4 linked regions of the Mus musculus genome follow. The main gene of each other region encodes a partner of the protein of the gene in region 4 in a complex. Links are inferred from orthologs where the notes say so. Each region holds a gene or a part of one and is shown on either strand. Other genes may lie near its edges. The genes, in order: Gtf2f2, Polr2l, Gtf2a1 and Ercc3.

Region 1 (7,607 bases), on a different chromosome or scaffold from region 4:
AACTACTCTCCCAGCTGACTGATTCAATCTGGCTTTTCTCTTGGCCTCTAATTGATCTGTTTTGCTTCAAAATATCTCTAGAAATCTTTTCTAATCTTCTGGCTCCTTCTCATTCTCTTGCTTGTTGTGTCTTTACCTGTGTCCAGCCTGTTCTCTCTTCAATCTGTCTCTGTAAAAACTCTCCTGGTAACACTGCCTCCTTCTCCCTCTCTCTGCTCCACTCTCCCTCCCGACTCTACTTACTGCTCTCACGAGCTCCACTGTATCCTGTACTGTACTCTCTTCTTCCTGAGCTGCCTGTCTCTCCCTGAAGTAGCTTCCCTCTCCTCTCTCTCCCTGTGAGAGTTGGCTATATCCTATTCTGTCAGACCATTCTCTGACTCATCACCTTGTCTGCCACCCATTTAGACATCACTTCCAAGCATGGCTACTTCCTCCACCAAATTAACTTTACCTTCATTGTTTGAGATTAAAGGTGAATCTAAGGGTTTGCCTGTATTCCAGCCAGAGGGATTACAGGTGCATACTAAGGGCTGAGCCACACCACAACTAGAAACAGGTTCAAATATCCTGTAACAGTGGTCTATGAGGAGATATCTTATCTAAACCATTATATCTCTGAGCCATTATAGCCATGAGCTTTGTTAAGTTGGACGGTTTACCTGTGTATGTTCAATGTAAATACTTTATCTTTAAAGCCATTCCTGGGGTGTGCCAGGCTCCTTTGTGTTCTTCTCACATATACTTGAACCAAGACTAAAGCACTTCTCATAGGCTCACCTTTTAACACTTTAGGCCTGTTTCCAAGCTGTTATAAGAGAATGCAACTTTTCTTTCCAATGAGTGCCTGGTCTTTTCCATCACATTAGTTTTGCCAGCAGATCTCAGAGACCTGACAGTTTTCCCAGCCCTTATGCTGCACAGATATAGACTCTCTGCAGTTTTGTGCATAGCTCTGGTGTGTGATTCAATAAATTACTTGCCATTCTTCCAATACCTTACTGCTTGTTTCTCTTCAGCAAATGTTCATTCAACCAAAGCCTACTGACATCCCACAGTATGTCAAACACTGTGCTGGGTGCTGTGCATATAAAATGAATAAAACACTATTTTGTATTTGTCCATTCTGCTTCAGCAAATCTGGGGCAAAAACAGTACTTTTGTCTAGGAGTTCAGTCAGTAGTGTAGAAAACAAAGATAAACACGCCTCTCATGGTACAGCGTTAAGCATCACACACTATCATATGGGGAAACAGAACTTTATCTAGGGGGACTCTCTTTTCTGTGTGGTCTTTATTTCATTTCCACTTGTCTGTGTTTATAAGTAGAAGTTTGCCAAAGGACAGGGCCAGTGTAAAGATCAGGGAAAGCAGGGCATCTAAGGCACAGGAATTGGTTTGAAAGAGGCTCTGAAATGGTAAGAGGAAGGTCCTGGAGTCTTCAAGCAGGTGGATGGGCTTGGTGTGGAATCCTGTGTGGAACAGAGAGTATAGGAAGGATCAAACCCAAAGGACTCAGTTGAAGCACAGGGTAGAATTTCATTCCAAAGGCAAGTGGGGGAGGAAATTACCAAATGAAGACTCAGGAGCTAGAAGCTGCGGTGAAAGCCTGCTAACTCTGAGAGGCAGAAAAAGTACTCAGCTGACCTTCCCACTCCACCGACTTCTCAGAAGGAAAAGCCCCTTCTCCTTCATGCACTCTTAAATACCCTTCACCTCAAACTCTCTCCTTTCTCTTGCTCATGTTCACTCTCTTGTCAGCTGGCTACTTGCTCTGCCGCCTGATCTAGGGTTGACTTTATTTAGCTCTTGGATTAATGTGCGCGCTAGGTAGGGGTGAGCCAGGCTACCTATACTTGTTTACAGTAAACAGAAAGTTCTAGGATCAAAGGCTGAGCCACAGTTATTAACAGATTCTTCCAGTTCACAATCTCAGGGCTCATAATGTGATCCAATATCCTGCAACCGGAAACTGTTTAAGCAGGGCAGTTGGATAATCAGATCTGTTTCTTACATGGTGGGTCTTACCAACTCAATTAGATGGCATTCAGGTTTCGGCGTCTGAAAGAGTGTATGCTGCTTGCACGGTGTGAATTGATTTTTATGCCTCGAAAAGGCATGTGTCCAGCATACTCACTTGTACTCTAGTGCCCACTTGTGCCAATGTTAATTGGGCCAAGAAAGTGACTTTTTTTACCCCCAAGTCTGTCCTTAAAATGCCTAGCTTCTTTATCTAGGGTTGGGTATAAATACACACAGCTTTTGTCTGTCTAAACCTTAATCTTTCCACTTTGTCACCTTTGCTGTAAACGCACGGTTCAGGATTAGGCTCTTCCTTTCCCAGCACTCGAATCCCAAGATTGCACGTTGCCGGGAGTCACGCCCATCTAGGAAATTGCCGGAGCAGGAAGTTTGTCCCTCTCGGCGCGCTGTCCTGACGTAGTCGTGCGCAGGCGCAGTTCTTCATTCGGCGGCGTGTTCTTCTCATCTAAGTTCCTGGTTCCCGGGCTGTGTGCGACGCCGGCTTTTCGCGGTCTACTTACTCCCTTGGCCGGCTCTGGACTGTCGCTCTCTGCCTTTCAGCGCCGGGACCACTGCTTGTGCGCGCACTGCACGCCTCCTCACGCGACAAGCTCATGGCGGAGCGCGGGGAACTCGATCTGACGGGCGCCAAACAGAACACCGGCGTGTGGCTGGTCAAGGTGAGTGAGACGCGAGCCCCGCGGGGCGCTTCCGAAAGTTCTGGGTCCGTCTTGCTCGGGCCACCGCTGTTCTGAGAAGCGGGTCGCTGTTGCGTCCGTTTGCAGGTTGGAGAAGTTACTTTAGGGGACACAGGGCGTCTTTCAGGCCGTCTCTCAATTTCATCCGCCCACCATGGAACTAACTCTCTTTACCGCCAAGACCTGGCCTTCCTGGAGTCCTGACCCGGTGGTCCCCGAGTGGGCAGTACATTTACCCCAGGTCGGAAAAGTCCTTGCGGTTTTCTTTTTGGTAAGGTTAACTTTAGTTATGAACGTGTATAAATTACTTGAATAGATATTCCGTACAGTTTTCTGGACCACAAAGTGGAGCTGGTCCCTGTGTACTCTGTTGTTTTGAAACAATCTCTCTGTGTAGACTTGGCTAGCCTGGAACTCGCCATGTAGACTCCTGTCGCTTTACACGGCTAGTGTTGCCTGGGTTGGTAATTCAATTGGAGCCTTCGAAAGACCTAGAAGTTCTGAATTCAAAGAGAAGTTGTTGACTTCGTGTTTTTAAAGAGCGAGTTTAGGATTCATGAAACCAACCAGCAGTAAATGTTTTAAGTGGTCATGCGGCAGACCTCGTTTGCCCCAGTGGTCGCCATCTATTCGGGTCACTTTTTTTTATATGGGGTGGGAGGCTCTGTGGGGAATCTCATTCTGAAAAACCATATTTAAATGGGATCATGAAAGTTTCCCAAACTTGTTTTTTAAATGGTTTATCTTTGTAATGAGTGTTTTAAGTCCATGGCTGAGTTCTCATCAAGACAAAGTGTTTCTTCCTGTCCTTTTCTCTGAAACAGCTCTCGTCGTTTGCCAGCACAGCAGACTATGTTAAGTTCTTCAAACCCCTGAACAGTTTCTAGTGCTCCTTTGTACCTGTCTGTATCTATTGTTGATGCCCCTACCCCCAAGTCACTTTCTTTGCACTTTGATTAGTGTTTGGCACATATTACTTTTCCAATATGTGATGAATATAAGAAATTGAAAAGGCACACGCCTTTAATTCCAGCACTCGGGAGGGAGAGGCAGGTGAGTGAGTTCCAGGACAGCCAGAGCTATACAGAGAAACCCTGTCTCGAAAAACCAAAAAGAAAAAGAAAAGGCTGTATGTCAAAGAGACACAAACTAAAGTGGGTAGGAGTTAGTCCTGTCAGTTTCATCGGCGGGCGATTAATGAAACACACCTCTGGGTGTTTCTGGTGCTGTTTCTGGAGGCAAAGTAGGTCACAGGGCTATGATCTAATTAAGGGATTAGTTACTCTGTTGGTGGATTTATAATGTGACTTCTCTGGGAGGTAGTGAAAGGTAGTGGGGCGGGGCCTAGTTGGAAGAAGTAGATTCTGGCTGTATGTTCTTAGGGCTGCCCTGGCCCTCTCTGTATCTCCTCTATATCATGGCCACTGTGGAGTGAGCTGCAGCACTTTTCCTTGTTTTTCCCACCATGACAGATAGAAACTGAGATACCCAGTGCAAAATAAATCTTAAATTGTTTCTGTCAGATATTTGGTCACAGTGACTAAGTCTGACTAAAACAGAGAATACAGCAAAGGGTTATAAGTAACAGGAAAAACGAAAACCTATTCTCTCCTTTCCTTTCCCTTCCCTTCTCTCCCTCTCTCTTCATCTCTCCCTCTCTCTCTCTACCTTTCTTAGTTCAGGCTGGCCTGGAAGTCTCTGTGTAGCCCAGGCTGGCCATAAACTCATGGTAATTCTCCCACCTAGGTGTGTGTTAGAGCACCTGTGCTTGAGTATTTATGTTAGATAAATACACAGATATATATCTTAGATAAAGGAGAGCTACCAAATAGACAGGACTGTGGTGTGCACACCTTTAATCTTAGTACTTGAGAAGTTAGCCTGGTCTACATTGAGTCAGGGGAATGTTGTAAGACCCAGAAACCAGAAGAGGGCATTGGATCCTCTGGTATTACAGGTATGGCTGGTTATGAGCTGCCATGTGGGTACTGGGAATTGAACCCAGGTCCTCTGGAAGAACAGTCAGTGCTTTAAAGCTGAACCATCTTTCCAGCCCTTATCAGACTTAAATAGCAAAACCATTAAAAAGTCCATATGGTATTTTGAGATACATTGTCCACAGTCTCACCTAGCTTTATTTCTGAGTTGTATCACTAGCCTTAGATTCGGTTTTCATATCTGTAGACAAGGGAGAGTACTTTGAAGAGTGATTGAGGGGATGAGTGGGTGGAGGGGATAGAAAGTCTACAAGGAGTCTGACAGAATTGTCTCCTCAACCTTCCTCTTTTCCAGCCTCAGGCCTATCACCTGACACACTTTGGTAGTCTACTAAGTTAATATCATGAACATACAATCAGCCTTTTTTACTCCTTTTTTAAAAAAACTTTAACTGTAATCAAAGTACTGTACCCCCCCCATAATCTTGCTAGACTTCCTTGTCTCCCCTTTGCAGCCCCAACACCTATGTCTCAGTCTGAATTCATTGTGATCACATTGTTATTCCAAGATTACTACGAGAACTAATGCTGACAACTGACAGTCAGTGAATACTTATTCTCCACAACACATATGCTTCGTGTTTTATTAAAGTCTCTTCTTTGCTTCTCATAACAGGATAGCTGAAAGGTCTAAACTACTTATGTGAAGAACAGAGGCAGATTATTTATTAGAGAATTAATATATTTTTCCATCTTAGAATTTAACCTCCGGTTACTTCTGTTTTTCTGTTTCTGGTTTTAGACATAGTATTTTTATGGTTAAGAACAAAATCCCTTGAGATGGCTTGGCCTTGAATCGTGCTCTGTCATTTACTAATTGTATAACCCCGGGGAAGGTATTTGATCTCTGGGTACAGCATCTGTGAAATGTTTTGCTTTATTTTAGGTTCCTAAATATTTGTCCCAGCAATGGGCAAAAGCCTCTGGAAGAGGTGAAGTTGGGAAACTGAGGATTGCCAAGTAAGTTATTTATATATTTATATAAATATACTATGTACACACATATAGTTAGTATATATGTATAGCACATAAACTATACATTTTTTAAAGCTGTTTTTAAAAATGTTTATAATGGCTTTTGAATGTGATTACATTCTTAGAGAATTTACTTAGAAGGTGAGAGTTATTGGGCATGTTAAAGCAGGTTATGGGATATCTATATATTCTGTGAGGAGACAGGCTTGTGCATGTGTGATAAGTAGTGTGACTATAAAGCTAAATTTATTGGGGAAGCTTACTGGTAGTGAAGGAGCAGATGATACGGTTTCCCCATCCTTCTATCTGTTCGTGGTGTGCAGAGGTGTGCTTGGGTTAGGTGTGCATACCTAGAAAGTACTTTTTTAAAAATTTTATTTATTTATTTTATGTACATGAGTACACTGTAGCTGTACAGATGGTTGTGAGCCATCATGTGGTTGCTGGGAATTGAATTCAGGACCTCTGCTCGCTCCATCCCGAAGATTTATTTATTATTATATGTAAGTACACTGTAGTTGTCCTCAGACACAGCAGAAGAGGGCGTCAGGTCTCATTACATTTGGTTGTGAGCCACCATATGGTTGCTGGGAATTGAACCTCAGAACCTCTGGAAGAGCAGTTAGTGCTCTTAACTGCTGGGCCATCTCTCCAGCCCTAGAAAGTACTTTGATGGATGGACTTTGCCATTGTCGTTCCTGGTTAAAGGGCTATGGAAGGACATAGGGAGCGTCTAGTGTGCCTGAGACTTTGTGTTCTATGAGAGAGATTGAACCCAGATTCTCCATGTTCTCACGGGGCGGCTTCTTTATCCCGTATCCAGTCACTTCATTTGTTTGTTTGTTTAGTTTAGTTTTTTTTTCAAGTCTATGTAGCTCTAGGTGTCCTGGTACTTGCTCTGTATGTAGGTCAGGGTGGCCCTGAACTCAGAGATCTGCATGCCTCTGCCTCCTGAGTGCTGGGATTAAAGGCGTGCGCCACCATGCCTGACTTCATCCATTCACTTAAAAAAGATTATTTTATACATACGAGGTTTTTGCTGGTATGTATATCTATGCACTAACTGTTTGCCTGGTACTTGAAGAGACCAGAAGAAGGCATCTGATCTCTTGGAACTGGAGTTATAGACAGTAGTTAAGCACTGTGAGGATGCTGGAAATTGAACCCAGGTCGTCTGGAAGAGCAGCTAGTACTCTTGACTGTTAGACTGTCTTCCCAGCCCTTGTCTAGCTACTTTTAATCCAACTCCACTGAGATTCTCAAGCCTAGTACTTCATTGAAATAGCTGTCATCTGTTACTAATGTCCCCACCTTTATCAATTAGTTTTTGTTTCATAACAAAACTTAAAAATTTTTAGTCACTTAGAACAAAAAATATTTTATTTGTTCAGAATTTTCTGGATTTTTTTTTCTGGTCAGGGCTGAGCTGGAAGGCCTTCTTGACTGGCCTGGCCTTGTTAAACATTGAGTGGCTTGGTATCAGCTGGGCAGGAGTCATCTGTTTCATCTCCAGCATATTCTTTCATATGGTGGTGAGAGTTCACAGTTGCAAAAGAGGGCCTACAAGTACAAGGGTACTTCTGTCTGTTCGCTAAAGTCTTATTGGCCAAAACCAAATTCAAGGGCTAGAAACAGATTTCAACACCAATTTTCTTTTTCCCTGTAAAAATTTTTATTACACATCTTATATAGCAGCTGTCTTGATTGACCCGCATCAGACTTGACAAGGCCGTAAAACTGGTATCCCATCCCATCAGGACAGCACTCTGCTGCCCTCTTCCTTCATTGTCTCCTATGGACCTTTTGCTAGGCTCCTGGATGCCCCATCTCAGCATCTTAGTTTACATGATCCCTCCTCTCAGTCATCAGTTCTTGTCTCTTTTCACTTTTTTTTTTAAAGTGGCCTCATCTCTTCT
Region 2 (7,505 bases), on a different chromosome or scaffold from region 4:
AACTCCAACCCCACACTTGATGCTCTGTCCTCTCCACACAGGCCTCTTGCTCCTAACAGCTCAGCCCTGGCCTTTTCTCACTACTGATAGCATCATGTAAATGCTCCATGTTCCTGTACACTGTCTCCTTTTGGAGCATCTCTGAATGGAGCATGGCTGTTTTCATCTCACTGCTGTATTCCAGATGCTGCCCACAAATGCTCCTGCTATGTAACAGGTGCTCAATAAATGTAAATGTATAAGCACTCGAATCAGCTTGCTGACAGGACCTTATGGTCCAGGGTAGCTGGAGTACTCACAAGAGTCAAGGTTGGTGAAGCCCAATGGCAATTACAGTTAGGGTGAGCACTGGTAGCTGGAACATCCCCCCAGCCCACTGTGGCCTGGACTTGTCCATGCTCAAGGAAGAGTCTGTAGGCCTTGCTAGGGTCAGAGGGCAAGGGAGGCACCAGGGCCTGTTGGGGATGCCCTGGCTCCTGTTTCTCTGGCTTTAGCTCATCTAAGCAGCTGAGAAGAGGTCCTAAGCTGATTTTGTTCCCCACAGTCTTCTGTGCCAGCTGGAGGAGGCCACTATGGGTTCTCTGGACTCTAGCCTAAGGCAAAGCCTTTTTCTTTTTTTTTTTTTTTTAAAGATTTATTTATTAATATATGTAAGTACACTGTTGCTGTCTTCAGACACTCCAGAAGAGGATCTTGTTGCGGATGGTTGTGAGCCACCATGTGGTTGCTGGGATTTGAACTCTGGACCTTTGGAAGAGCAGTTGGGTGCTCTTACCCACTGAGCCATCTCACCAGCCCGCCTTTTTCTTTAAAACAACAAAAAACCAGGGGTGGGGTAGGGTGGGTATGCTATGCCACACACACCTTTAATCCCAGAATCCAAGAGGTAAAGGCAGGCTGACTGTTGTGAGTTTCAAACCAGCCAAAGCTGGTCTCAAAAAACAAAACAAAAAAACCCACCAAAATTCTCAAAGGGATCAATGTGCTAGAAAGAACCCGGGGTACTTGATGCAGATGCCTAGGAGCTAAAGCACTACACCACCTCCTTTGGCCTAGAGTAGGCTTCTTAGGACTACATGCTGTGGGGATTGGGTCAAGGGGCAGGGCTGCCTAGCTGTCGGGCCTGGGAAGATTCTGGAAACAAGATCCTCAGGCATGGGCAGCAGATAGGCTCACACAGCTGATGGGCTTTAGGACCCAAGAAATTCGTGAGGCCTGTGGCCTTGGGCGTACTCCTACAGTATCTGGGTTTGGTTGGGTGGCACAAGCCGTCCTTTAAACTCAACACTCGGGAGGCAGAGACTGATCTCTTTAGTTCAAGGCCAGCCTGGTCTGCAGAGTTGAATTCCAGGATAGTCAAGGCCAAACAGAGAAACCCTGTCTTGGAAAATGAAAGGTAAATAAATCTGGGTTTGATTCCCAATACCTGATGGCAGCTTATACATTCTATAACTTTACTCTCAGGGGATCTGGCCTCTGTGGGGACACAGTGATACAAAGACTTATAAGCAGACCAAATACCCAAATGCATAATAACCCTAGCACAAGGATTGGGACCTCCAAGCACGCTCAGCATTCCAAAGGAATATTGTCACCAGGCTTGGGCCCATCCATACCTGTGGATGGTGTGGTGCCCACATCCATTATGCCCATCCTGAACACAGGCAGGAAGCGGAGAGGCCCTAAAGCAATGTGGTACAAGACTACTGTAGGGCTACCTCGTTGATCAAAGTGGTCAAGGCCCCGGGGAACGGAAGCAGGGTACTCCTCCACAGGACGAGACTCCCAGTCAGATGAAGGGGAAGGAGACCAGCCCTAGGGGAAAGACTGGAGGCAGGCCAGGTAGCCTCAGAGACAGCACAGACATGGACATGGAGCACCTTGGAAGTTAGACCTGTTGGTGGTTCTGCAAACATCTTTACTAAACAGTTCCTTCCAGGGTAACAGGACTTAGCCACAGGGCCACAGCCAGGCAATACACCAACATCCCCAATAGCTCAGTTTGAACATAGCACGACAGGCTGCCCGTGGCCAGCAGGAGACAGAGGAGGGCAGGCTCCAGCGGTCACTTCTCTAGGGGTGCATAGTTCAGCAGCTTCTCAATCAGGTCCACGTGTGCTAGCAGCATGCGGCGGCAGCAGTAGCGCTTTAGGCCCAGAGCGTCCAGGGCATCCCTGTAAAGAGAAGAGTGAGGCTGGATGTGGTCTCTAGAGTCTGGATAGGTTTGGAACCACCTCCAGCTTGCCTCTGGGTATTCGTGTGGATAGGGGTTACCAGAGCACATCTACATAATCAGCGATTGAAACCTGACACCAGGCCATAGGGAAATGGCCTGGAGATTTCTGAAATATGTATCTAGATGCTCAGGGAGGAGCCAGGTGACCCTTTCCCCACCTAGAAGTTACACCTGCTCATGTGCCAGTCTTCTCCCATAGCATCCTGTATCCATCCTTAACAGCCTTCTGCCTACACCTGTTTTTTAAAATTTCGTTTTATGTGTATGGGTGCCTGATGCTCCCAAAGCCCAAAGGAGTTACGGACACTTGCGAGATACCATGTTGCTTCAAGGAACGGAACCTGAGTCCTCTTAAAAAACAATCAAACAACCAAACACACAAAACAGCCAGTGCTCTTAACAGTTGAGCCATCTAGCTGGGTGTGGTGGTGCACACCTTTAATCCCAAGCACTTGGGAGGTAGAGGCAGAGGCAGGTGAATTTCTGAGTTCGAGGCCGGCCTGAGCTACAAAGTGAGTTTCAGGACAGCCAGGGCTACACAGAGAAACCCTGTCTTGAAAAACAAAACAACAACAAAAAAAACAGTTGGGCCATCTCTCTAACCCCCTGTATCTCTGCGTTTGTCTCTTGTACCCAGGGTTATGGGCTTCCAGGGTTATTTGGGAAAGCTTAGGAGACCAATATCCCCTCATCAAGGAGTACAATTCCAGGCCCCACAGGTGGACTCTGACTAAACGCCATGAACTGGTTGTTGCTACCCCACAGGCTTTGAACTCACACTAGATTTAATTTCTCTGGGACCTAGACAGCTTGAGAGGTTCCTGCCCAAGTGAAAGAGGGTCCCAGAAGGCTAGCAGCTACTCATCAGAGCTGATCTAATAGCTGCTCATTAAGCCCCACTGACTTATGGCTTGTGCAGAGAAAGAGAACCCCTTGGTGTTGACATGGTGGCCAGAGGTCTATTTTGGGGGACAGTCATAGTAGTGAGCACAAGACGATGCCCACAAAGCCTGTCCTGCATTTTAAAGGGCCCACGAGGTTCGAAGTACATAAGGGGTAGGTCGGAAAGCAGATAGAGGATAGAGAGTAGGTCGACAGGGAAGAGACTTGAGGTGTCACCCACGGGAAGGATGCTTAGAAGTTTCCCAAAGGCCAGCAACTTGAAGAAAACCACCTTCCAAACTTCTGAGAGCCTGGGCGTGATATTGCACGCCTTTAATCCCAACATCCAGGAGACAGGCAGGATTTCGAAGTGTTTCAGACCAGACTGCTTTACATAGAGAATTCAGGTCAGCCACCGAAATCCTGCCTCGAAAACAAACTAAAGACTCACTCTTCTGGGAATACATCACAGGTCTGGGCTGGAGGACATCCAGTCTTCTCACTAGACCCCACAACCCCTGCCCTGCCAATTCTCCATAGGAAATCTTATCTACCCCCGGCCCAGGACACCTCAATTTCACTCCCGGTCCGCCGCAGAACCCTCCCCATTGCCCCTCGACTTCATGCCCCCAGTCCAGCCTTCCCGTCCTGTCCCATCCCCCGCGGCCCGCCGTCTCACCCCTCCGTGTACTCGGCCTGCAGCAGACCCAGGTAGGCTTCCCATTTGTTGCCGACGATCTTCCCGCAGGTGAAGCAGCGCACCGGGATGATCATGGCGGCGTCTGGCGTGCAGGCTGCCGGCAGTAGCTTTTCAAGGCCCGCCCCAGGCGCGCCCATAGCGCGGGGCTCATTACGCCCTAGCTCCGCCCCGTAAGATCCAGAGCCCCGCCCCGCATCTCCCTGAATCCCGCCGCAGCCCTGCCCCGGCTCCCATGATTACCCTGAAGCGGCGGTGTTCCTTGCTCGTGCCCACCCGGGGCTCCGAGAGCCTCCGAGCCCGCGGCAGCATCCCGGTCCCCCCCCTCCCGCTGTGGTGGTAGATCCCGGCGCTACGGCGTCCGAGCAAGGCCGAAAGGTCCGCGGCCGGCGGTTCGCGTTTCTCGTGTTGCCTTGACTGACAGCTGCTCCGCCGTGCGGCGGCGCGCACAGGTACGGCGGTTCTAGCGGGCTGGGGTCCCGCTGGCCGGATCGCAAGCCGACTGGAGCCAAGAGGTGGTTAACAAGTGGTGGTGGCGCAGCCGGAGAGCGGGCTGCCGACTGTCCACGGCCAAGGCGGTCTTCCCGCCTCCTGGCCCGGACTCCAAGGGGTCTCGGTCTGGAGCCCTTACCCGAGGTGCCCAGGCAGAGTCCGGGCCTTGGAGTTTGGGGCGTCCTTCTCTTCGGCCGCTGCAGAACCGTCGGCGGTACGGTGTCCCGAGCCCCGACGGCGGCCTCCCGCGCTCAGTACAGTCCTCTCCTCTGAGAAGGGTCTTTTCCTGGGGAGAGGAGCAGGGCGGTGGTCCGGGAAGGCGTCATGGAGGAGGCACCCTATGAACAGACCTTCTAACCTCTTTTTCCCGGGATATTTGGCTCAGACGCGGAGATTGCGTGCGAGACTGCTAGTGGCCACAGGTCTGCCTCACCTGGACGTGACTTAAGGACTTAAGGGAATGGGCAAGGAGCTGGTTTCTGGGGAGTGTATCACCTTGGCCGCCTTCTTGTGTGTTGGGAGCTACCCTTAGGAAAACGAGGCAGCTTGCAGTGAGAAGCTGGAGAAGTTCGATAGAGCTTGGGAAGTTTGAGATCTGGTTACAGTGAAGGCTCTGGGGGGTCCTAGACATTTTCCAGGTGCCTCTGGGAAACAAACGATGGAGGGGAGGTCGGGAGGGGTCTCCTGGGTCTTGAGTGTGGCTGGTCGGAGCCACTGGCCAGCTTGGTGGTTGTGCCCCCGATGTCACCCTGGACAGCCTCCCTGGCAGCTTTTGCCATCCCCCATGGAGCCACGTGCAGAGCCACGAGCTAGGCGACTTCCCGGTCCTGTCCCCTCCCCCCAACATCCTGCCCTGGCCAGAGGGGGCAGTGGGGGCCTGTGAGTCACTGTGGCCTGGGATCAGGCTCAAGATCTGGACTGAAGACTGCTGGTGGCCAGAGGTGAGGGTGGCAGGGGAGTGGGATAGGAGATGGTCTGTAGGGTCTGCCCTAGGGGATGGGGTGGAGGCCAAAGGCTTGGAGGAGGGGCTCTCAGTTCGGTCCGGCCCCTGGAAGACTTGTTTACTTAGGGAGAGTTGGGGAGTAGAAGCCTGTGCCAAGTTGACATTCCTGGAATTCCCGTGTGTGTGTGTGTGTGTGTGTGTGTGTGTGTGTGTGTGTGTGTGTGTGCGCGCGCGCGCGCAAGCCCACAGTTTCCAGTGGCTATCGTGGGTGGTGGCATCCTCTCCTCCCCTAGTTCCTGCTCCAGCTCCCTGGATTCCCAGAAATGGCCCAGGCTAGAGGACTCCAGGCTGTTCACCCAGACTTTGCTCATCCTGGAGTGCTGTGTGGGATGGGGGTGGAGTGGGGGGGGATATGCTGTGGGTCAGTTCTCTCCAGAGCCCTGGCAGGGATCCCAGGCTCAGCTTCTGCCCCTACTTCTACCGTTTCTTAACTCCCAGTGGCGGGAGAGAGATGTAGGATACTTACAGTCTCAGCTCTGCTGTTTCCCCACTGCAAACTGACCAGTGTCTGCCTAGCAAATGGATGCTCAATCTACTGTACAGGGTGGAGGGCGCATTGAGCGAGATGTGCTCATACGCAGTTTTTAACCCATTTGCCACAGTTCCTGCCAGAGGAGGGGGTCACTTCAGGGCAGGGGACGAGGAAAACCGATGATTGAAGTGTTAGCTGCCCGGCCCCTCCCACCCTGGGTGTTGCCCTGAAAACAGCCAGCCAAAAGAGGGTGCTGTACTGTGGTCTGGAGCCCTGGGCTCCAGCTGGCTCTACCCCTTGGCCTTAGGTCACAGCCTTAGTTTCCCCATTTGTAAAGCTCTGCTGGGACCTGAAGCATCCGTGGGAAGGATTTTAATTCCTCCACTAAAAGCTGGCCTTGAGCTAGGGGAAGTGGTCGAAAGTGACTTCTCCTGAGGAACTCTATCTAGCCTTGTGCCCTCTGGCTTGCTCATGTAGGACAGTTTATATCACCCTGAGGGTATGGAGTGTGAACATACACACTCCTACACCTCATTTTCAGGGCATATCTGTGTGGACACACTAAATGTGTTTGGTACATGTTGTCCAAATAGCTCTTGGAGACCCTGTGGCTGAAACTGAAGTAACTAGCCCAAGAACCCTTTGGGTTATTGAGGCTGGGACATTTGGGACTCAGTGCTTGAGGGTAGGGGTGGGGTGTCCCCAACATGGCAATGCAGGTGTGCTTTGTTCACAGGATAAGCATTCTGAGTCTCAAGTAGGTCCTTTCTATTCTACTGCCACAGGGGCTCTGACAGAGAAATACCTGAGGGTGCCGGGCAGGAAGTGGGGGGAAGATACTATTTGGGATGACCAGAGAGTCTAGGAAGAAATATGGGCCCTTTTGCTGGCTTCACACAGAGGACCCTGCACCCCCATCCCTATTGAAGTGGAGGGAGGCAAGAGGTGTGTCTTCAGAGCTCCTGGTTAGGCTCTGTGTGCAACCCCTTGGTTGCTTGCTTCTTGGTGGGAGGTGTCAGCCTACTGGACCAGGAATTTGTGGTCTTCCTGCCCAGGGTGGGGGTCTGGGGCAGGCACTGGGGCCCTGCAGGGGCTGAAGCCGCAGCAGGAAGGCAGACACCACAGCCTGTTTGTATTGGCACCACTCTCTCTGCCTCCTCAAAGAAGCTGTGGAGCTTCAGCCCCGGGACAGGGTGGGTGGTGCTGCTCTGTACTCTCTCCCTCCTGAGCTAGCTGGGCTAGGAGTAGCTACTACGGGGTCCAAACAGGCTTCTGGGCAAACTCACGCTGGCGCCACACTGAGGGGTCCAAATGCTTGCTTGCTGACAGCTACTTGCCCCGAGCAAGACATGGTCAAATTCTGTCTAGAAATTGGACAGGTCTGGCTAGGTGGGTGTGTGGCTCATTCCCCAGGGGTTCTTGTTTGTACCCTTATCTTGGAGCCTTGCTGGCAGATGTCTCCTATGTCCAGACCACTGTGGTTGGGCACTGGCCACGGTGTTGAGGAAAGCATCCTTTTCTGGCTCAGAGAGGGTGGCCTTGCCTTGGTCCTTCACTGTTAGAGATCAGTCTGCACACCACACCCTGTGAATTCTGTCCTTGGCAGCAGACATGGACCTGGCCCTCAGTCGGCTAGATAAGTCCCTGTTCTTGTGGGTTTTACAGGCAGGGACTTCTAGGCAGGAGAGGGACACATTGTTCAGAGGACAGCATCTTAGCAGAA
Region 3 (6,838 bases), on a different chromosome or scaffold from region 4:
AAACCAAAAAAAAAAAAAAAAAAAAGAAAAAAAGAAAAAAAGAAAAGAACAGAACAGAGCTAGTTTGGATCTTGAAGCTTCATCACTTCCTCAGTTAGAAAATTACACTGTAAACGTCTTCCTCCTCTTGAGGCAGTATCTCTGGAAATGTGGAGACCAGGCTGGCCCTGGACTCATAGAAATCCACCTGCCTCTGCTTCCCAAGTGCTGGGATTGAGGGTGTGTGCCATTATGTCTGGTTTAAAAAATAGTTTCTTAAACACTGACAGTTCTTTTACTTCATATTTTGATTTTTTTAAAAGAAAAATTGTATTTTGTCTGTGTGTTGCACATACATATGTATGTGTATGTACCACCATGTGCATGTGGAGGTTAGGTAATGATTTGTGGGAGTTGGTCCCCCCTCCCCTCTCTTTCCCTCCCTCTTTCTCTCTTTCCCTCCCTCTTTCCCTCCCTCTTTCCCTCCCTTCCTCTGTCTCTGTCTCTGTCTTTGTCTCTGTCTCTCTTTGCAGAGATCAGCCAGATAAAATATGGGCTCTTAGGAAGTACCACTTTGTTGCTCTTGGAAGTTGCTTTTAGTGTGGGGTTTGTAAAGGCCTCTATTATTGGCTGGAAGTTTAAAAATAATCTAAATGAATTTTCCTTTAATTTTAGATGAGGAAAATGTGTAAGAATGTTACATGATTGAGTCACATTAGTAGATAACCCAGTATTAACTGGTTTTCCAGCCTCTGATGTAATGCTGTTACATAATTAAAGCTACTACTGGATTAGTAATAACAGCTGGCATTCAGTGATCACTGACTTTAAACTGTGGTAACCATGAACAGAGGTTAGTATTTTTTTAAGTATAGATTTCAGGCATTGAAGTATTGGGCTTGTAGGGAAGTACTTCTACTCTGAACCTGACTTTTACTCCATTTTTCAGACCACTACTAAAAGACGCTGGAGTTGTTGTAGCAGGTAGTCATAACTATAGGTCACGCAGAGAGGGCAGGGTGAGGGGTTTTTGCTTTGTTTTGAGTCTGTGTAACAAGAGGCGCCTCTGAAAGAATCCAGAAGAAACCTCTGCGTTAGCAATCTCTCAGGAGCAGACCCTGGACTTAAGAACAGAATGCTTGCTTTCTTTGCAGTTTAGAGGCACACTTTGACTTTCTTGGATAATTTCTTATAGGAGTGAAACTCAAAATTAAACACTAAACATAGGAGAAAGCAAATATGTTATGGGAAGAGTGAAATAGTTGAAAATGTTTTCCTCTCTTTTGGATGGCTCTCCCCCCTCTCCCATTATAGAGCTTACCCTGTGCTGAGGTGAGAAAGACAGATAGGCAGCCCTAATCCGAAAGGTCTCACCACCCAGGAGTGTTACCTTTTTACATAGTTTTCAGACTTTGAAGTTCTCTTATGTTTCACATACACCTTTTATACATGGCTAGGAATTAATTGACACGCTATTTTAATGGTTTTGTGCATAAAACAAAATTTCACCAGGTAGAATTTTCCCATGGTGAGATCCTTTTAGGAGTCAAAAAGGTAGAATATCGCACGCAGAGTTTGAGTTTTTAGGTTAGATATGTTCAGCTTATAGAAGTGGCTAAGCAGAAAGTGATTGTCAGTCTTCGCATTAGAAGAACGGGCGTTCCAAGAGGTGTAGAGCATCGGGATGACCGTTTCAGCCTCATTTTCTTTAACTTACAAGGTTAGACAAATGGAAAGGAAGCTGGCCTATTTAATTTAGAGTGCCTGTATTTCACAAAATTCTCACTGAGGACAGATGGATGAATATTTCTCTTTTTGACTCCTATTGAAGAGATAGAAAATTTGTATTGAGCAAAGTTCCATAAAAGCAGTTTAATAATTTTGAAATAAAAAGATAAGCTGTGATTATTCAGGGATTGACTCTGGGAACCCTGTTAAATAATACCTGCTAACTGAAGAATTACTCTAGAAAGTTTCTTGGAATGTAAAAAAAAAAATTTAAGTAAAATAAACATGTGATTTGATCAAGGTTTATTTTCCTTGTATAAAACTTGGGTGATATTTGTGTGTGTGTGTGTGATTGTATTATTTCTGGAAGAAATTTACAAACACCTAATAACTTAATATTTTGTCTATATGACCAGAGTTTTCTTTAAGTCACTGAGAAGCTTTACTGTTCTTCGTCTTAGTTGTGGGAGAATAAACTAATGCAGTCTAGGGCAGTAGATGGATTTCATTCAGAAGAACAGCAGCTTTTGTTGCAAGTTCAGCAGCAGCATCAACCCCAGCAGCAGCAGCATCACCACCACCACCACCAGCACCAGCAAGCGCAACCTCAGCAAACGGTACCTCAGCAAGCACAGACCCAGCAGGTCCTCATTCCTGCATCCCAGCAAGGTGAGAAGGCTGGAGGTCCCTGTTGTGCCTTACAAGTTACACTTGTCTTTTGAAAGTATTCCTTTGACTTTTAAGTTTTATTTATTTATTTAATGTATATGAGTACACCATTGCTCTCTTCAGACACACCAGAAGAGGGCATTAGATCCCATTACAGATGGCTGTGAGCCACCATGTGGTTGACTGCAATTGAACGCAGGACCTCTGGAAGAGCAGTCTGTGCTCTTAACTGCTGAGTCATCTCTCCAGCCCTAATTTGACTTTTAAGTTTGATGGATCCATCATCTTTTTAAACAGATGCTGGGGTCTGGAGATCTATACTGATTACTCTTTTTCTTCTCTGACTGGTAGAGTGCTTGCCTAGCACACCTGAGCCCTGGGTTCAATCCCCACCACCCCATAAACTGGGCATTGTGGAGCGTGTCTGTAATCCTAGCATTTAGGAAAAGGCAGGATCAGATATTTAAGGTTATCTTCTGTTAGTTATCTAGTGAGTGAGTTGGAAGCCAGCCTGGGCTACATGAGACCTTACCTCAAAAATAGCAAAAGAAAATAACAAAGGCAGAAGTTATGAAGAGCATCCCTGGGAGGGGAGCTATAATATGTGAATGAGCTGAGCTAGGGACCAGGTAGAGAGACATAGAGTCCCAAGAGCGTAAAGCCAGGAGGAGTTCTGTATCCCTGTGGGGAGATAGGGAGTAGAGACAGATTCCCAGAAGTCTGGTTATGGGCCAGCTAAGCTGTTATATATGCCAGAAACACTACAAAGAAACCTTGTGTCACATAGGTTGAAGGCAAGGATCCATACTACACACTTTATAGATATTATGTAAGATAAAAGAAAATGGGGGTCCCCTACCTATACAGACTTACTTTTGAATGAATTCATTATTTAATATAAGGTAGTTTTCTTTATGAAACATGTTCTTTCAAAGACATGTTTGTTTTGTTCATGCATCTTCAATACTGGAGAAATTTTGTAACTTTGGTAGTCTGAAAATTTAATTAAACTTTTTTTTTTAAAGATTTATTATTATGTGTAAGTGCACTGTAGCTGTCTTCAGACGCACCAGAAGAGGGCTTCAGATCTCATTACAGGTGGTTGTGAGCCACCATGTGGTTGCTGGGATTTGAGCTCAGGACCTTCAGAAGAGCAGTCACTGCTCTTACCCACTGAGCCAGCTCACCAGCCCTTAATTAACTTTTTAATGCTTGATTTAAAGAAAGAAAAACTCATTACAGACTCTGTCATAGTTTACAATATTCAAATCATGTTATAGGTCCTGTTGCATTAACCTTTATTGACGTGTTGCAGAATAGCTTATTAGCTCAATTTCACAGTTGAAGGAAATCTGGGCCCTGGAAAGATTGAGAATCTTGCCATAGCTTTAAATCCTGCACTCAGGAGGCAGAGGCAGGCAGATCTCTGATTTCAAGGCCAGCCTGGTTTACAGAGTAATTTCCAGGACAGCCAGGGTTACATGGAGAAAACTTGTCTCAAAAAACTCCAAAACAAAGAAGGATCTCGATCCATCATACATAGTTATTTTAATATGACAAAAATCTATTGAGTTATAACATTTTCTGAATACTGTAGTTAGATGAATTTGACTAGAAAGGAAACTTGAGGTAACTGAAAGCTTAGTTTAAGGTGGCAGCTGTTGGGTGACTGGTTTGCTTCATCTGAGAGAGTATGAAATGCACGGTGAGTAGTCAGATGTAGCAGAAGGCGGTGTGACTGGGTTTACCAGTTATAGCTGATAGATTTGGAGTGTCCCTTTTAGGGATTCTTTAACTTCATTTCGTGTGTGTGTGTGTGTGTGTGTGTGTGTGTGTGGAATGTGGTGGCCCATGGTATCCATGTGGCAGTCAGGACAACTTGCAGGAGTCTGCTCTCTGCTTCTGCCACGAGGGCTCTAAGGATGGCACTCAGGTCTTTAGGCTTGGTGGCAAATGCCCTTGCCCACTGAGCCATTTCCCCACTCTTCAGACCTGCTTTTCATTTCATCTTTGATGGCTGTTCCTCCTGTTGCCTATAGGCATGGCACTAGGATTTTAAGTCATCATAAATTAAAATTGACTTTTTTCACTCAGAGAATATCAAGATATTGGGTTTATCTATGTGTTCTCTGAAATTTGCGGGGTCAAACATTACTTTTTTTTGTTTTTTCTTTTAACTAACATTGCTGTTGTTTCTTTCTTGAGTGTGATGTTTGTGTGCACACATGCAGGTGTAGATGCTCATGGACCATGGTGCATGCATGGAAGTCAGAAGACAAGTTCAGGTGTTGATCCTTGCTTTCCACTCTGAGACAGGATCTCTGTTGTTTTCCTCTATATACACTAGGCTAGCTGTCTTCAAGCTTAGAGCTCTCCTGCCTGACTCCTCTCCCCACCTCATAGAGCAGTGGTATTAAGAGTGCTCATGCTACGTAGCTGGCTTTTATGTGTGGTCTGCAGATTCTAACTCAGGGCCTCCGGCTTGTATAGAACAAGCATTTTTAATCCATTGATTTGTATTCTTCAAATAGTTAATTAAAATGCCATGATCATGGTAGCTGTCAAGTTGCTAGAAAAGGATGTTGTAGGGTTTTTTGTTTGTTTGTTGTTTTTAGACACTGTCCTACTATATAGACCAGGTTGGCCTTGAACTCAGATCTTTCTGCCTCTGTTTCCTGAATGCTGGAGTTAAAAGCATGCACTGCAATGCCTAGCTAAGGTATTGTAATTTTATTAATGTTTTTCAATATAAAATAAATATATTCGAGCTGTTGATTTCCATAGGAAAAAAATTTAGAAAGTCTAAAATAGCATATAGTTTGAAAGTATTTTAAAGTAGAAAATGCAACAAAAGCATGAAAAAGGTAAAAAAGGTTTTGGCATTTATAACATTCCTGCAGCTCTGAAGTATTCTTGTTGTAAATGGGCCTTTTTTTTTCTATTTTTGTAGCTACAGCACCACAAGTTATTGTTCCTGATTCTAAGTTGCTACAACATATGAATGCATCAAGTATTACGGTAAGACTTGAACACGGCATGAACTGGCTTTAGTTAATCTAAAATTGCAGTTATTCCTATGTGTATTATTTAACAACTTGAGGATTATGGAAGATTTGTGCAAATAGCTGTTAATGACAAATTAAATCTTTAAAGTTTATAAAACTATGTAATTTTCTTAAAAAATACCAAGATAGTTCATAGCTGACACTGGTACTTGTATGTCAGGAGGTCAGTTAAATGTAAGTACAGGAAGGCTACGTTTATAAATTTGTTGAAAATGAACTGTTTTGGACAATTCAAGATAGGTATTTCTTTCTTTCTTTTTCTTTTTTTTTTTATGGTTTTAGAGCTTTATTGTAGAAAGAGAGAAGGAGAGAAGGTAAAAGAAAGAGAGGCTGGCTATGGCCACGTGGAGAGAAGGGAGGAAGGGAAGGAGAAACAGAGCTAGAGATGAGAGTAAGAAAGGTGAGAGCTTAAGACAACTATTTCTTTTTTAAAAATTTAATTTTATTAGTTATTTGAGAATGGTATGTGATGTATTTTAATCATATTCACCTCTAACCCAACTCTTCCTAGATGCACCCCTTCTTTTCTACCCACCCACTCAAGCTTGTACCTTCTGTTTCTTTTTAAACCATTAAATCTAGTTGTGCTAACCATGTACATTTGAGTATGTGGTCAAGGAGGCTATTTCCTTGTTTTGTTTTGCTTTTTTTTTTTTTTTTTTTTTTTTTTTTTTTTGAGACAGGGTTTCAGACCAGGCTAGCCTCAAACTTACAGTGATCTTCCTGCCAAATCCTGGGATTAAAGGCATGTGCCAGCGTGCCCAACTCAAGGATGCTACTGCTGAAGTCGTATGTTAAGAGTTTTTGTTGTGACTTAAGCATAACACATAGTTTGCCTTATTGTGATCTTTAGATTTATACCTTAAGGTGTATTTTATGCAGTTGCTTATAAGAAGAATTCTGTTCCATTTCAGGTGGACAGGCATACTGAATATCCCATTCTTAAACGTCTCATACTTAAGGCTCGTAATCTCCCATCAGATACATCACAGTGCTTAACTGTGAACTGAAGGAAGCCCTTCAGGCTCTTAGGATGTGTCGCCAGATCGATAATGTTATAAAAGAAGCAGGAAAACAGAGTCTGACCACTTACTTAATACTTTACCACCAATGACTTATTTTCTTAAACTATGTAGACTATAAATATTGTAAGGTCAGATGTGGCATTTTATTTTTAAAATCAACCAAAATTATTACTGAGGACAAAATCATTTCTGAAATTGTCTCTTGGTCTGTGTAAGTATTGCTAGCAATGAGTTTTTTGGTTTTTAGTGAAAATATTTCTACAAACACTTTGACTTTCTGAGTGGCATCTGGGATCTGTAAGAGTTTACAGCTGTGATGTGTAAGCATCTAAGAAGCAGGTCACCTGTTAGTCACATGACTTCCTCCTGTGT
Region 4 (6,838 bases):
ATTCCCCCGTTTTCTCTGCCGCATAGCCCATCACTCTCCTGCATGGTAGTATTGTAAGACCCCAGAAGCTGGGCCTCCGCTCAAATCCCGGGATGAGCTGGCCAGCACCCCAGTGACCTGAGAGAAAACCACACCTGATGCAAACTGCAAGAGGTTTTATTATCAGCTAGCTTGAGGACGAAGTCCCTCCGCTGAGCAGAAGCACATGGCCTGAAGAAACCGCAAGTTCTAAGGGGTCCCATTGATGTGGAAGATGGTAGTGTAGCGGTAGATCTGCTCAGTCTAGGCGCACAGCATGTAATCATATTAACTGTGTTGTGTTTTCACTGCCAGGGCATATTTGGGAGGAGATTTACCGCAACACTCCAACTCAAGAGAGCGGCCGGGGAGATTTATTATAGACGGCGTCCACAGAGAGCTCCCCGATGGAGCAGGGACATGGCTAACCCGAGTCAGGCAGAGGAGAGCAGAGAATGATGTGCGTGAGGCTAACAGGAAAAGGAAAGAAAAGAAACCGGAGTTTCCATGATGTCAGTGAGAGGAATCGATGCTCACATTAACATACAGGAAACCAAAGCAAGGGAAGTCTCCAGGAAAACCAAAATCTATCCATAAAGGAAACTGTAATCACAGACTACTGTAAGGCTGCCTGGACCACAGTGGCACTGTGACTAGTGGTTCTGAATACTGGCTAGTAGCTAACCCACAGCTTGGACTGTCACCCTGTGAGGAGGAGTGGCCAGTGCAAGTGAGAAAGCAAAACCTCAGCTCCCACAGCAGGGAGTTAACAGGCTTTCTACAGTGACAATCCAAAAACTGTCACAAAGCTACCAGCTAAAGAGTAAAAAGTAAACAAAAGCCAGTGGCCCGTTCCAGGGAACCAGGTAGGGAAACAGGTTCAGGGAGCTGTTCACTGTCACAACAGACTACGTCCCTTGGCCCAACCAAGCCTGTTGTCCCTTATGCCGATTCTGTCAGGTGTTTGGTCACTGTAATGAGAAAAGCAAGTACCCCGACACTAGCCTCTCCGCCTCCACCCACTTTCCCTGGGCCATAAGTCTGGCCTCAGCTCCACCCACTCTCACTTAGCCTGAAATGTTGACTGAGTGGCCTTTGCAGTCAGTGCAGGGTGGCCAGGCTCCTCTGGTGTACATCTTCTAGCCTCTGACCCTGCCTCTTTGCTTCTCTGCCTCACAAGTTCCTGGGACGAGGGCAGGGAACAGAGCGCGTTAGATCCCAGGGAGTGTTGGAGAGTGCACAGACAGGCCGTGGCATACTTGACCAGAAGATGAGAAGGCACCACTCACTTGTTCAGCCGAATGGCATATTCCTTCAAGGCAAATACGTTGTCAGCAAAGACAATAATCTTGTCATTCCTCCTTTCATGAAACTTGATCAGAAACTGGCAGGCTCTGAATTTGTTGGGATTCATGGTGTACAACAGGATCCGTTTCTTTGTTTTGATTGCCACATACTCTCGGTAGAACTCGGGAGACATCGGGCACCAAACCTGAGATGCAACAAGAATAGGGAATAGGGATCACGTTACAAAACAAAACATCACAGCATTAAGGACTTTTGATGCTCTTTCATTTAGCAGAATTAGCTTAGGAAAAAAAATCAAGTGTCAGTGTAATGGCTCAACAAGCAGAGGTGCTTCCGTCTGCAAAAGGTCTACTGCCCCGAGTTTGATCCTTGGACTCCACAGGTAGCAAGAGAGAAACAATTCCCAGAGGCTGTCCTCACCCTTCACAGGCACACACAGGAAGAAGGCGAGAGAAGGAAATTAAAGAAACACAAATGTCCTGCTAGGAAAAGAAGACAAACTACCCTTATTACATATAAGGGATCCCATAATTCTACCAGAAAACATCTATGAATAACCAACAACTTCAGCAAAGTGGCAGGATACAGAATCAACTTGCAAAAATCAACAGCTGCTCTGCACACCACCAACATACAGAGAGAGACAGTGGACAGACACACTCCCATTCACCACAGATTCAAAGACAAACAGTACCTAGGGAGAAACCTCACCAGGGAGGTGAAAGACCTACACAAAGAGCGCTTTAGATCACTGAAGGATGAGGTCAAGGAAGACAGTGAAAACGGGAAGACCATCCTGTGCTCATGAGCTGAGAGAATTAATGCTGTAAAAATGGCCATTTCTACCAAAAGCAATGAACAGAGTCAATGTAATCCCAATTAAAATCCCCACAACATTTCTTCAAAAAAGGTAACCTATGTTTCTTTCATATAGAACCAGAAGAGACCCCAGATTACCCCAATAATCCTGAGCAAAAAGAGCAGTGCCGAAGAACTCACCATCCCAGACTTCAAGACACATCACAGCAATAGTAATAAAGATAGCATGGTACTGGCACCGAAGCAGACATGCAGACCAATGTAACAAAACCAAAGAAGAGAAGGCACAACTACAGCCATCTCATATTAGATGAAGATGCCAAAAACATGATGAAGGAAAAATAACATCTTCAATAAACAGCACTAGGGAAATCGATGTCCACATGCAGAAGAATGAAATTAGACCTGCATCCACCACCCTGCACGGAACTTAACTCCAAAAGGACCAAAGGCCTAAGCGTGAAACCTGAAACACAGGCAGCGCACCACAGGACAGTCGGCAAGAAAGGACTTTCCCAATAGGACTCCATTTGCCTAAAACTTAGGTCCAACAATGGACAAGTGGGTCTTCATAAAACTAAAGAGCTTCTGGCAGGCTGAGAAGTCATCAGTGGAGTGAGAAGGAGGACTGCTGAGTGGGAGAGAATTTTTGAAAGCTCTGGTTACTATCCAGAGTTGTATAAAAACCTAAAAAGAGGCCGTTAATTTTAGAGGGAGAAGCATGGAGTAGAGGGATTAGAAGGGTTCAGAGAAAAAGAGGGAAAGAATGATATAATTATATTTTAATTAAAAATAAAATAGTGGCTGGAGAGATGGCTCAGCAGGTAAGACTACTTCCTGCTCTCCCAGAGGTCCTGAGTTTGATCTCCAGCACCCACATGGCAGCTAACCACTGTCTAACTTCAGTCCCAGACTCCAGTGTTCCCTTTTGGCCTCCAAGAGCACTGCATGCATGTGATATACAGACACACATACAGACAGCCACTCATACACACCAAGTAGTTTAAAAATGAAAAATTAATACTCCATATTGAACTGGAACTAACTTAACAATGATTTTTAAATGGTAATAATTTTCATCGAGCTGCTAGAGTGAGAAGCCAGCAACCCCTCCATTTAGGCCACATCACCACACACAGACCAGTATTGTTCCAGTACTCCTCTTCTTGGAGGGCTAGCAGCACATCAGACTCTCCAGGAAGTGCAAAGTCCTCTGCTACCATGTTCCCCTGCATACAGCGTCTATGTTCCCAGGCAGCATCCTGGTGCTAGGAGCTCTCATTCCTCCCTGTTCCCTGAACCCCAATCCCCACCCACAAATTATACTCTAATAAATATGTCTGTAATTTGTTTGTGTGTGTGCAGGAGATGAACCCAGAGTCTCTCTTACACATGCTAGGTAAGAGTTTTTGTCACTAAACAAGTAACAAAACACTTACAAAAAATACTTTAAGTATAAGATTAAATATTATAATTATTATAATGTAAATAAAATAATATCTGTCAATATTAAAGTTTTCTATTGCTATGTATCAAACTGGGGATTATCATATGAAAGATTCAATGGGATCTTTGAATAATTTAAAGGAATGAACTACAGCTACATGCATGATCAAGAAAATTCTGCAGGGCTAGCAGGATGGCCCAGTGGGTAGGGTGATTGACAGGTATAACACAAGTTCCATACCAGTGACTACCCTACGGGGCAGAAGAGGAAAGAAGGGAAGTGCTGTCAAGCAATGAGCAGCAACACTGCGCTGCTAACAGACACACTCATCTCAACCAACGACCACTTTCCAGAGGTCACCCCACTCTAGCTACTGAGTGGCAGTCATTTTAAAGCACTAAGATGAACTGTTCTGTCTTTCTTTCAGACTTATCTTTGACTGTCGATTTTAACACATACCTGTACAGGCATCCACTAAACAACAGTATTAGAAAAATGTGTTCTAAGAAATAACACCATAAAGACCAATTTCTTCTGGGACTTTGGCACTGGAATAGCCTGAGTGGTTGCCCTGAGAGGTTACAGCAGCAATCCTTCAGGGTGAGGGCGGGCAGCAGGGAGTCATGGTCTGTATGAGCTTGCTGCCTTAACCACATGACAGAGGCAGAGAATTCCAGTGCGGTCTGCTATGAAGTGTGGCTCACCTACCAGGGTGACTACTGCACTACGCCACGGTCGCTTAGACTGGGTCCTGACCTGCTGGTCTGCCCAGTTTATCAGAAGATCCCTTCTGTTCCCACGGGAGTTGCCCTTACTTCACATCCCACCCAGGGAGCAAATACCTCAGCACACTGGACTTTAGCGATGTACCCATTGTTCTGCAGCTCCATCCAGTTGGCTTCATAGAGCTTGGGCCCAATCAGGAAATTTAAGTCAACAATTTTGTCATCTTCCCGGACAAGGGTTGCAGTCAAACCAAGCTTACAGTGCGCCTGCACAATAGTCAGAACCCGCCGGAACATCCTGGCTGCAAGAAGACAAGAAATGTTCGCATCATCACCTTCTACACTGAGAAGGGGCCACGCAGCCCGCAACTTGGCACTGGTCTGCAGTACCATATGGTAGCCTTGCTACTAGAGAGCTGAAATCTGGTTCCAGAGAAGAACAAGGCAAGAATATTTCACCATGGCTTTTAGACCTGTTCAAAAGACAGAAAGAATAAAGGACAAATGACCTCAGGGAGTTCCAAGCTCACAAATACCAGCACTTGTCAACATGTCAAGAGTCCAGGCACCAGGAGCAAATATGACTTGATTCCAAGCCACACAAATCACTCAGGCTGAAGCCTATGCACAGGTCACAGCTAAGGAAGCTGGGATGAGGGGACAGAGAGCCCAGCTCTGCTCTGCTCTGCTCTGCTCTGCTTCCTACCATCGCCACTCAAAGCGGAGAGCAAAGAGCCCGTGGCAATGACAAAGCTCAGCCTCCAGTCTGCCTAAGCATGCTGTGTACCTGTTCCCCTCCTAAAGTCACCAGTTAAACAGGCATGGTGGCACAGGCCTTTAATCTCAGCACTCTGGAAGCAGAAGCAGGGAAGACAGCTCAGGGCAAGCCTGCTCTATAGTTAGTGCCAGTTCAGCCAGGACTACGGAGTGAGACCCCTGTCATTACTTTCTTTCATCAAGAGCCACCTTTCATTTTCTTCCTTTGCTGATTGTTATAATTCCTGATTATCAAATAAACACATAGACGAGATACAACCTTTGAAAACTCTTGTGTGGGCATGTAATGTGTGTGCTTGTGTGTGTGAACGTAGGCACCCGCATGCTCAGCATCGGCCCTCACCATGTTTGGGGCAGGGTCCTTTGTAGGTGCACGGCTGCACAGGCCAGGTTACATGAGCAGCAGCATGCAGGCTTATGCTGTCTTCCCCACCTTCCCACAGGAGTGCTAAGGTAACAGATGGCACCCTAGCAAGCCAGCTTATGTGTGGCCTCGGGACTTGAACTGGTCCCCCAACTGTAGGTTTGCCACAGCTTTAGAGATCTGCAACACTTTGGAAGGTTAGCAGGCTTTGAGTTGGGGGACTAGTGTGATGGCTCAGCAGGCAAAGATACCTGCTGCCAAGCCTGATGACCTCAATTCAAAGTCTGCCATCCATGCGGTCCAAGAGAACCAACTCCTGCTGACCTCCACACTCCTGACACGGCATGCACATGCCCTCCCTGAAAATAAGGAAATATAAAAGCTTCAAGCATTCTGGAGACAGCCAGCTCCATGCCCACCCTGCAGGGAGCTCTACTGCTCTACTTCTCAGTAACACCTGGCTTGCCTGCCTTTCCAAATGTGGGAGAAAGGTCTGAGGCATGGAGCTGTGGGTGCAGCTCAGTGGAAGAACACACACTTCACATGCATGAAACCCTGGCTTCAGTTTTCACCACCCCTCTCTCACACACATGAGTCATGCTTATCTTAGAATTAAAGATGAGGCCAGTGATACGTCAAAAAGAAACCCAATGAGAAGATGAAAGTCCAGAATATTCCAAAAGACAAATCAAACACCAGAGCCATAGAATAACAGGGCAGTCACACTCTGAGTAAATGGCTAATTTTAAATTTCACACACACTGATGCTTAACAACTTAGAAAACTTACAACATCTGCAAATACAACAATAACTATACCAAACACAAAACAAGGTACAAGCAAATGAAAAGTTAATGTCAAGGTTATCTCTGAGCAAAGATTGCTGGCCCAGAAGGGCAACACCAGGGGACCCCAGGTTTCCCTTAGTAAGAGGAGCATCAGAGGCCCAGGCAACAAGAACAACACACCATGGGCATGGGAGACAGATCAGGGATCAGGGACAAAGTAGGATCCAGTCACTTCTGCATTCCCTTAGTCCATTTCCGACAGTGACCACGACTGTCCCAGCTAAGGGAAGATGCTGTGCAGAGGACAACTTCAGTCACTTAGGGAGCACTAAGCATCCCACGAGTCTCCCATCCGTCACCCCTCTGTCAATGGCAGCACTCCTCCTAGAGGAGACCATTACCCTGACTTCTGAAGTCAAAGAAAAGTCTGCCTTCTCCTTCAACTTCACATAAATGAAGGTATGTGCTCACTCACTGTTACATAAAGCAAAGTCTAAAGTCCATTTGGGATGACTCAATTGTACCTCTGTATCTCTAAGGTCAATCATAGTGCATAAACACAGTGCACAGTGTTCAATAAATTCTTGTTAAG

Evidence for each region.
Region 1: Ercc3 (region 4) and Gtf2f2 share a complex: the UniProt entries of both Homo sapiens proteins name them as parts of the TBP-based Pol II pre-initiation complex. The link is inferred for Mus musculus from reciprocal best matches to the Homo sapiens genes ERCC3 and GTF2F2.
Region 2: Ercc3 (region 4) and Polr2l share a complex: the UniProt entries of both Homo sapiens proteins name them as parts of the TBP-based Pol II pre-initiation complex. The link is inferred for Mus musculus from reciprocal best matches to the Homo sapiens genes ERCC3 and POLR2L.
Region 3: Ercc3 (region 4) and Gtf2a1 share a complex: the UniProt entries of both Homo sapiens proteins name them as parts of the TBP-based Pol II pre-initiation complex. The link is inferred for Mus musculus from reciprocal best matches to the Homo sapiens genes ERCC3 and GTF2A1.

The regions. Positions count from the first base shown.
Region 1 is NC_000080.6:76,005,774-76,013,380, reverse strand, and holds the start of Gtf2f2 (general transcription factor IIF subunit 2), read left to right. Parts: upstream 1-2,515; 5' UTR 2,516-2,635; coding exon 2,636-2,701; intron 2,702-5,602; coding exon 5,603-5,676; intron 5,677-7,607. UniProt on the Homo sapiens protein: TFIIF is a general transcription initiation factor that binds to RNA polymerase II and helps to recruit it to the initiation complex in collaboration with TFIIB.
Region 2 is NC_000073.6:141,471,231-141,478,735, forward strand, and holds Polr2l (DNA-directed RNA polymerases I, II, and III subunit RPABC5), read right to left. Parts: upstream 3,924-7,505; 5' UTR 3,893-3,923; coding exon 3,798-3,892; intron 2,175-3,797; coding exon 2,066-2,174; 3' UTR 630-2,065; downstream 1-629. UniProt on the Homo sapiens protein: DNA-dependent RNA polymerase catalyzes the transcription of DNA into RNA using the four ribonucleoside triphosphates as substrates.
Region 3 is NC_000078.6:91,571,122-91,577,959, reverse strand, and holds part of Gtf2a1 (transcription initiation factor IIA subunit 1), read left to right. Parts: intron 1-2,168; coding exon 2,169-2,376; intron 2,377-4,387; exon of another isoform or gene 4,388-4,530; intron 4,531-5,326; coding exon 5,327-5,394; intron 5,395-6,838. UniProt on the Homo sapiens protein: TFIIA is a component of the transcription machinery of RNA polymerase II and plays an important role in transcriptional activation. TFIIA in a complex with TBP mediates transcriptional activity.
Region 4 is NC_000084.6:32,251,862-32,258,699, reverse strand, and holds part of Ercc3 (general transcription and DNA repair factor IIH helicase subunit XPB), read right to left. Parts: intron 4,620-6,838; coding exon 4,435-4,619; intron 1,511-4,434; coding exon 1,308-1,510; intron 1-1,307. UniProt on the Homo sapiens protein: ATP-dependent 3'-5' DNA helicase/translocase. Binds dsDNA rather than ssDNA, unzipping it in a translocase rather than classical helicase activity. Component of the general transcription and DNA repair factor IIH (TFIIH) core complex.